Linked DNA regions of Diceros bicornis minor. The protein of the gene in region 1 binds, or shares a complex with, the protein of each later gene. Links are inferred from orthologs where the notes say so. Each region holds a gene or a part of one and is shown in the gene's direction. Other genes may lie near its edges.

What was found.
Region 2: the proteins of ANXA11 (region 1) and TARDBP are in contact, whole or in part, in a cryo-EM structure (PDB 9FOR), measured with the Homo sapiens proteins. The link is inferred for Diceros bicornis minor from reciprocal best matches to the Homo sapiens genes ANXA11 and TARDBP. Residues at the interface, in NP_001148.1 of Homo sapiens: Gly56, Met57, Ala59, Met61, Ser62, Gly63, Phe65, Asn69, Pro71, Asn72, Leu73; in NP_031401.1 of Homo sapiens: Ala328, Leu330, Ser332, Trp334, Gly335, Met337, Gly338, Met339, Ala341, Ser342, Gln343.

What each region holds. Positions count from the first base shown.
Region 1 is NC_080745.1:27,750,367-27,754,277, reverse strand, and holds the start of ANXA11 (annexin A11), read left to right. Parts: upstream 1-976; 5' UTR 977-1,183; intron 1,184-3,911. UniProt on the Homo sapiens protein: Binds specifically to calcyclin in a calcium-dependent manner. Required for midbody formation and completion of the terminal phase of cytokinesis.
Region 2 is NC_080752.1:30,290,140-30,294,050, forward strand, and holds the start of TARDBP (TAR DNA-binding protein 43), read left to right. Parts: upstream 1-1,087; 5' UTR 1,088-1,191; intron 1,192-2,159; 5' UTR 2,160-2,173; coding exon 2,174-2,411; intron 2,412-3,911. UniProt on the Homo sapiens protein: RNA-binding protein that is involved in various steps of RNA biogenesis and processing.

The sequences.
Region 1 (3,911 bases):
TCAGTCTCAGTTTTAAAAAAATCTTTTATAACTACCATATATTCATATATTTTTATAACTACCATATATTCATATATTACGTGAATGACCTTTTTTTAAAAAATAAACTTTATTTTTTAGAATAGTTTTAGATTTACAGAACAATTGCGAATCAGAGTTCTCATAAACCCTGGTTTCTGCTGTTATTAACATCTTATATCAGCATGGTGCTTTTGCTACAATGAATGAGCCAATACTGATGCATTATTATTAACTAATATCCATACTTTATTCAGATTTCCTTAGTTTTTACCTAATGTCCTTTCACCAGGATACCGCGTTACATTTAATTTTTATATCTCCTTCGGCTTCTCTTGGCTGTGACAGTATGTGTCTCAGATTTTCCTCGTTTTTGATGACCTTGACAGTTTTGAGGAGTACTGGTCAGGAATTTTGCAGAATACCCCTCAACTGGGATTTCTCTCATGTTTTTCTCACGATCAGACGGGAATTATGTATTCTTGGGAGGACGACCACAACGGGGGACACACTATCACTGTGGATTTATCATTCCACGTTGACCTTGATCACCTGGCTGAGGTGGTTTGTCCGGTTTCTCTACTGTAAAGCTACTCTTCCCACCCCCACCCCCATTTCCACACTGTGTGACTTTTTTTAATGCAGCAAGTTTTCTTTACCTTAAAGAGTCACTAACAATGGTACAGGGGACGGAAAGGGCTTGGGGAATTCCTCCCCCTAGCGCGGTGCAGGGCGGGACCGGTCGCGAGAGGCGGGTGGCGTATGGGCTCCGCGGCGTCCTCCTCCGTCCGGCCGCGGGAGCCGGAAGACGGGCAGCTTCCTTGCCCCGCCTCGCGGAGGCTGGTCCCCGCCCACTGGCCCGGGCCGGCTCTCACCTGGGGGCGGGGCCACGGCCAGCCCCGCCCCGCCCCGCCCCGGGGAGCCTAGAGCGGGCGCGCCCGCCGAGTTTTCCGGCCAGCGGGCTCCTCCACCCGCCCCGCTCTGACGGCTGCGGCGCCCGCGGGTCCGGAGCGTCCCGAGTGCCCCGAGCGCCCCGAGGACGGGAGTGGGACAGAGCGCGAGGCCGACCCAAGGCGCCGCACCCCGAACGCCCGCAGAGAGAGCCGCTGCCGCCCGCGTCCTCGTCCGTCCCTCGCGGCCCCCAGCCCCCGTGTCCAGTGGCCAGGTGAGTGAGGGTCCCCAGCCGGCCGGGGGCACGGGACGGGACGGCGGCAGGGCGCCGCGACCCCCGCAGATGAGGCCCGGACGGCCCCGCGCCCCCTCCCGGCGGCTTCCTGGTTGCACGGCATGGGGGCGGGGACGGGTGTCGCGCTGGTCCCGGACGGGCGTCGGCCTGGCTGCCTAGCTAGACCAGCGGCGGGGGCTGCCCTCCCTGTGGGGTGGGCGGTGCGCAGGCCGGGCCCCGGGGTCCACGGCCACGTGATTGTCCAGCGCGGCCCGGGCCGGCTTGGGACCAGGTGAACAAGCGAGCAGAAGGCGACTGGCTGGTGTGGGGGGTGGCCGGTGGCCCCTGGCCCTCCGACCCAGCTGAGTTCTCGAGAGTGTGCGCGCCCTTCTGGGAAAGGCTTGTGCTGAGGAGAGATAATAGAGGAGGCTGCCTTCAGGAACCTTCCTCTGGAACTGGGAGGACGCAAATTCCTGGGAGCTGCTAGTGTTGGAGTTGATTTGTAAGGCACCTTATTTGAGAGAATGCAGGATCCATCCCTGGTGCTGTGTTCACCTGTGTGTTTACCGTCTCTGCCTTTCCCCCTTCTTCAGCCTTGAACTACAATTTCAGGGAAGGATTCTTGGACTTTTGTCTCCCCCTGGGCTCTCAGCCCAACCCTCTGAAGGCTTAAAAAGGCAGAAATCCATATTGGCTTAAAGGAGAGTTGTGAAGTTTGTCATCTAGACACTTTGGAGAGGAGTTAAGCTAGCTAGAGCTAGCCCAAGCTAGGAACAGTCTGCCCTGGACGTTTCTGTCCCTGCCCCTCTAATCAGTGACCTTTCTATGGAGATGGCGTATTTTAGGACAGACTCTAGGTATCCATGGTAGCCAGCCACTCTGCCCTCCCTCCCAGCCTTTGCTTTGCTCTCTGCTGCCCTTGGGCATGGAGTGGTGCTGTGAGGGGTGAACCTCTGCCCTGCCCACGTAACAGGAACCAAAGCTTGCAGGCCAGGGCCAGGCTGAGCCCACGAGCTGGACAGGCAGGGTGTGTTACCTTGCTCACGGGTACCTGGCTTTCCTTATGTTCCTTCATTGCTTCCTTGCTTCAGTCCATTGTTGGGGATTCCAGGAGGATTAACATGGGCTCTTGCCTCAGGGCACTCGCTGTGCTACAAGGAGTTCCCTGACAAGAGAGGCCAGCTGAGGTGCCAGGGCAGTTTGTTGCCCTGGGCATCGGGTGCTCACTACGTCGGGCTCCTGCATCCCTCCCTACTCTCGTCTCTTACCAGTCTCTGTGCCTTGGTTTCCTCATCTTGACAATGGGGGTACTAACAATATCTGCCTCCCAGCGTTATTGTGAGGATTCAGTGCGTTACTATATTTAACAGCTTTACAGCTCAGACACTAAAGAGCAGTCAGAACAGGTGGTGACTGGTACACCATACCTGTGTGTCCCAGGTAGATGTCACTCACATTAGACATAAAGCTTACAGCAGGGCCTGGTGCATAAGTAATCATCTGTGAGTATCAACAATAATAATATAGTAATAATAGCTACCACTCCCTTCATGCAGCTGAAGATCTGGCTGAGTTGAACTGCTCCCCTTCTGACCTGTCCCTCTGTCTTAGCTCATGCTGAAATGCCCTCCTTCCCCCATTTCTGCCTATTAATCACCGCCCTCATGGGAGCCACCGAGGTGCCTGCTCCCAGCAGGAAGGGACAAGACATGCTCTGAGCCCACGCAGCCCTCCTCCTCCATTCCTTTGGCACTGACGCTCTCTCCTTGTGTAGTATTTGTATGGCCACATTTCTTATCTCTGCCCTGTTCTTTGTCTCTGGAGAGTGGGGGCTGTTTCTTACTCATCTCTAGGTCTCACAGCACCCAGGATGGGCCTTGCCTCATGTAGGTGCTCAGAAGATGTTAGTTGAGTGAAAGAGCCAGGCCAGGGAAGTAAGATTTCCCTGTTGTTAAAATATTAGACCTTGAAGGCTGGGTTTGGATAGGCAAAAAAAAAAAAAGTGGGGAGAGTGAGATAAAAATTATTCCAGACTGATAAGTGGGAGAAGGCACTGGCTGAGAGGCCAAGGTGGAGTTCCCTTTGATTCCTTTATGTAGCCAGGGCAAGGATGATCCGTGGGCCCCATCTTGATTGCTGTACCTAGAAGGCCAAGATGGATTGGAGATGCCTTGGTCACATGATTTGGGGAAGGATGGGTAGTTTGGGATGATAGGAGTGAGAATTGAGCCAGAATAGGTTAGTGGGGGTTCTTCTCGGGAATTCACTGCAGAACAGAGAAAAAAAAGCTGGTGCATGCAGGAGGTGAATGTAGAAATGAAATCCACGCCCAGTGCTGGAGGATGTTTGGAGGGCCCAGGACCTTTGTGGAGCTCCCTCTTCTCCTGGAATCACCTCCTTCTTCCTCCCTCTTAGCTGCCATCTTCCCCCCATAAGCCTGAAACAGTTCCTGGGACTTGGTCCTTTGGGGGTACTCAGGGGAGAGCCTGTGTGTGTTTCACAATTACAGCCAAGCAAACAGACTCAGGTCTCTCTGCATTTTTCTCTTCAACACCCTCTGATGCCATTGCCCCTAGAACACCAGGAATTTGAGTGATACCTAGATAGGAAAGCTCTCAGGGAAGATGAAGGAACTGAAGTTTCCTTGCTGGGAATTTGTGGTTTTTTTTTCTTTGGTGAGAAAGATTGGCCCTGAGCTAACATCTGTTGCCAATCCTTCTCTTTTTGC
Region 2 (3,911 bases), on another chromosome or scaffold:
GGAGGCACCCACTCCAAAGCCAGACGGCCTGGGTTCAAATCCCAGCTCCACCATCTACTAGTCCTGTGAGTTTGGGCAGGGTTACTTAACCTCTGTGCCTCAGTTTCCTTATCTATAACACAGGAATGACAACAATGGCACCTACCTTACAGGGCTGATGTGAGGATTAAATGAGTTAATGCATAAATATAGAGCACTTTGCTATTACTGCATTTCATTGAATCTGATACACTGACACACTAAAAAATTGATTGTCGCCAATTAAACTAGGTCATATCACCAACAGCACTGGAACTGAAATCACTGAAATTCAGAAATGTGAAACAAAAGGCGTGTCTTAAAATAGATGAAGTACACCATTATTATTACAGCCTGGAGCTGGACTATGCTAGCATTAGGGTTAGGGTTCAAATCCCAGGTCCACTGACTACTTGAGCGACCTTATGCAAGATAACCTCTCTGGGCCTCAGTTTTCTTCTCACGTGTACATGCGGATGGTATGATCAGTACTACACACAAGACTGTCGGGGCAACTAAATATGTGAATACTTAGCACCTGGTACATAGTAGGCGCTATCATTGCTATTATTTAGAACAAAGTTATTCTTTCCAGGCGTGGAGGTTAGCTAGGAGAGGGAGGAAAGGTCGCACGACTCCGGCTTTTTACACAAAGGGTCCTGGCCTCCCCTGCTCCCCCAAGCCGTGACGTCAGGAAGACCCGGGAGCCCCGCGCCTCGCCCCCGCCTAGCCCCGCCTCACTCGCCCTAGCCCTGCCCCGATCTAGTCTCGCGCACTTTCAAAGTACGCGAGCTCCGGCCGAGACCCGGGGCCGGCAGTTGGTCGGGCGAAACCATCTGTTAAGCTACGTGGGGGGAGTTAAAAGCCTACGCACCCACATTGTTTCAATTTTTAGCTTTTCAGGCCCAGGCGCTGGTGTTATGTTAGCCTTCTAACACGTGCTGTAGGCTCAGACTGCCGAGAAGGAGTCCTAACCTGCTAGGGAGAGGGTAGTTGTGTCTCCGTGCTACGCCCTCCCCCTCCTGACGGGGAGCCAGTGGGAGAGGACGACGGCCGGCGGGGGGAGGAGGCGGCCCTAGCGCCATTTTGTGGGAGCCAAGCGGTAGCTGGGCTGGTCTTGGATCCCTCGCTGCTTCGGTTTCCCTGTCGGGCTTCCCAGCAGCGGCCTAGCGGGTGAGTCGCGGACGCTTCTCACTGAGGACGCTCTGGGTGCCTTGGCTCCCTCCGTGGGACGGCCTGCGGCGGACGCGGCGGCTTCGGCCCCCGTCCCGGGAAGGAGCCGCGGGGCCGGACCTGCCTTGTCCTGGCCCGGCGGGCTCGCGCGGGAGCGTCCTTAGGGCCTTGCGCGGGGTCGTGCATCCCGAGGCGGAGGTCTGACCTGGCTCCCGGGGCCGAGCAGTGCTTTGTGCCTTCGGTACCGTGCAGTCGGGGGGACACTGCCAGCTCAGGCTTGTGCCCCTGCGGCCCCACCCGGGCCGCGCTTACAAACTCCTCCCTCGGCCGCCACGCATGGCTTTCTGGGAGGTGGCGCCCCGCGTCGCGAGGGACCTGTCGCCTTTGCTCAAGTTTGGAGAGGCCCGCGGAAGTCCCACAGGGAGGAACTTTTTCCCGGTTCCCTCCACCTGGCCCACTACTCCCGTTCAGTCCTCGAGACTCAGCTTCCGCGTCGCTTTCTTAGCGCAGACTGCTTTGACCCATACACACGTCTCCACCCACTTAGGTTCTCCCCGGTCCCCAAGAATATTACTTCTTTCTGGCAGCATACATCACGGTTTTAATAAAATCATTACTTGTTTGCTTTTTTTTTTTTTTTCCTTACCCTCGCCCCTGCTCCTCGTAACCAGCATGCTACCTGGGACTGACTTTTTTCACGGTCATAGTTGGAGTATCTGATGCATAGTAGGCACTCAGCAAATATTTTTTGAATGAATGAACTAGTAAGGCATCACATTTTAATAGGAATCGCCATCCTTCCCTTTGCTTCCTCGTTTTTCAGGGATAGGCAACACGTGTAAGAATCCAAACAAGAATTTTTCTGTAACTCATAGAACAATGACATGGTAGTGGTGTTAATTAGCTGATTATGAGGAAACAGTTATTTTGACACAAGTGTTGGTCATTCGTATCTCTTTCCCTTTAAGGAAAATAAGAAAAGATGTCTGAATATATTCGGGTAACCGAAGATGAGAATGACGAGCCCATTGAAATACCATCAGAAGACGATGGGACAGTGCTGCTGTCCACGGTGACAGCCCAGTTTCCGGGAGCATGTGGGCTGCGCTACAGGAACCCAGTGTCTCAATGTATGAGAGGTGTCCGGCTGGTGGAAGGAATTCTGCATGCCCCTGATGCTGGCTGGGGAAATCTGGTATACGTTGTCAATTATCCCAAAGGTTTGTTGCTGTTTGGTTTTGTAATAATTCTAAAGTACAGTCGAGTTTGTGTCTCATTGTAAGTTATAGATCGTGGCCTCTTTTCACGGTGAAACTTCTATAACCTACGTATTTCTTTAAATGTTACTATTAGACTAGTTTGGAAGACTGCTAGTTTAAATTAGTGAAAATTAGAAATTACAGATTTTTTTTTTTTTTTTGTGAGGAAGATCAGCCCTGAGCTGACATCCGATGCCAATCCTCCTATTTTTGCTGAGGAAGACGGCCCTGACCTAACATCCGTGCCTATCTTCCTCTACTTTATATGGGACGCCGTCAAAGCATGGCTTGACAAGTGGTGCTTTTCGGCCACGCCCGGGATCCGAACCTGCGAACCCCAGGCTACAGAAGCGGAGCACGTGCACTTAACCGTTACACCACCAGGCCGGCCCCCAGAACACTTTTTGAAGAGAAAACCACGTATTTAAATAATTATCTGAACAGACATTGCCAAATTTAAGGAATTACTAAGAATGCTTTGCAAGTATATCAGTCTGTTGTAAATAGATTCTTCTCAAGTGCCGCAGTGTTTTGGTTAGGTCTTTATCCTTGCAAGCTTACATCGGTCATTCAGCTAATCTGGCTTCTTCCCCCCCCCCCATTAAATGAGCATTAATTGCAGTGGCCCAAATCTTGTATTAGTGCAGTCTAAATTACAATATTGGGTTCTGGTCTTATTCTCACTGCCCCTTATCTCTGATGTTCTAAATCTAAGAAAAGAAAGCGTGAAGATTAAGACGTGTGCCAAGGAAATAGGTACATTTTAGCAGTAGAAATGTGTGCTAGTTAATATATCTCTGTGCTACTTTTGTTGTAACCTGATATTGCAACAAAGTCCATCATATATGGTCAATATGAAAGATATTGACTTATATGTCAAGAAAATTTTTAATAGAGTCAAATCAGTGTTTTTTTAGTATGCTGTTTCTTGAGCCATTGGGTACAGATTAATATTTACCCAAATATAAAATGCCATTTAGATAATGATGTGTCAATGTATGTTCATCAGTTGTGACAAATATAGCACCCTGTGGGGGACATTGATAAAGGGGGACACTATGCATGTGTGGAGGTAGAGGGTATATGAGAAAGCTCTATCTTCTGCAGTTTTTCTGTGAACCTAAAACTGCTCTAAAAAATAAAGTCTGTCTTTAAAAATGTCATTTAGTTTCTCCTCTTGCCTTCCAAATAATGGTTTTTAAAAACAACTTAAGGTCTTTTTTTAATTGCAAAATTAATGTGGGTTCATTGTTGAAAGTTTAGAAAAGAAACAGAAAATTGAAAACACCGTTAAATCCACAGCTGGAGATAAAAAGTTACTAATTGTTTTGGTATATGGCCTTTAAGTTACAGGCATTAAAATAATTACGCAAATAGATTTAATAGGCACCAAGATATTGTTACACTGTTTTTTAACCTTTTTTTCCCTCCTTAATGCATTTTGTGTGTGTGAGTGAGAGA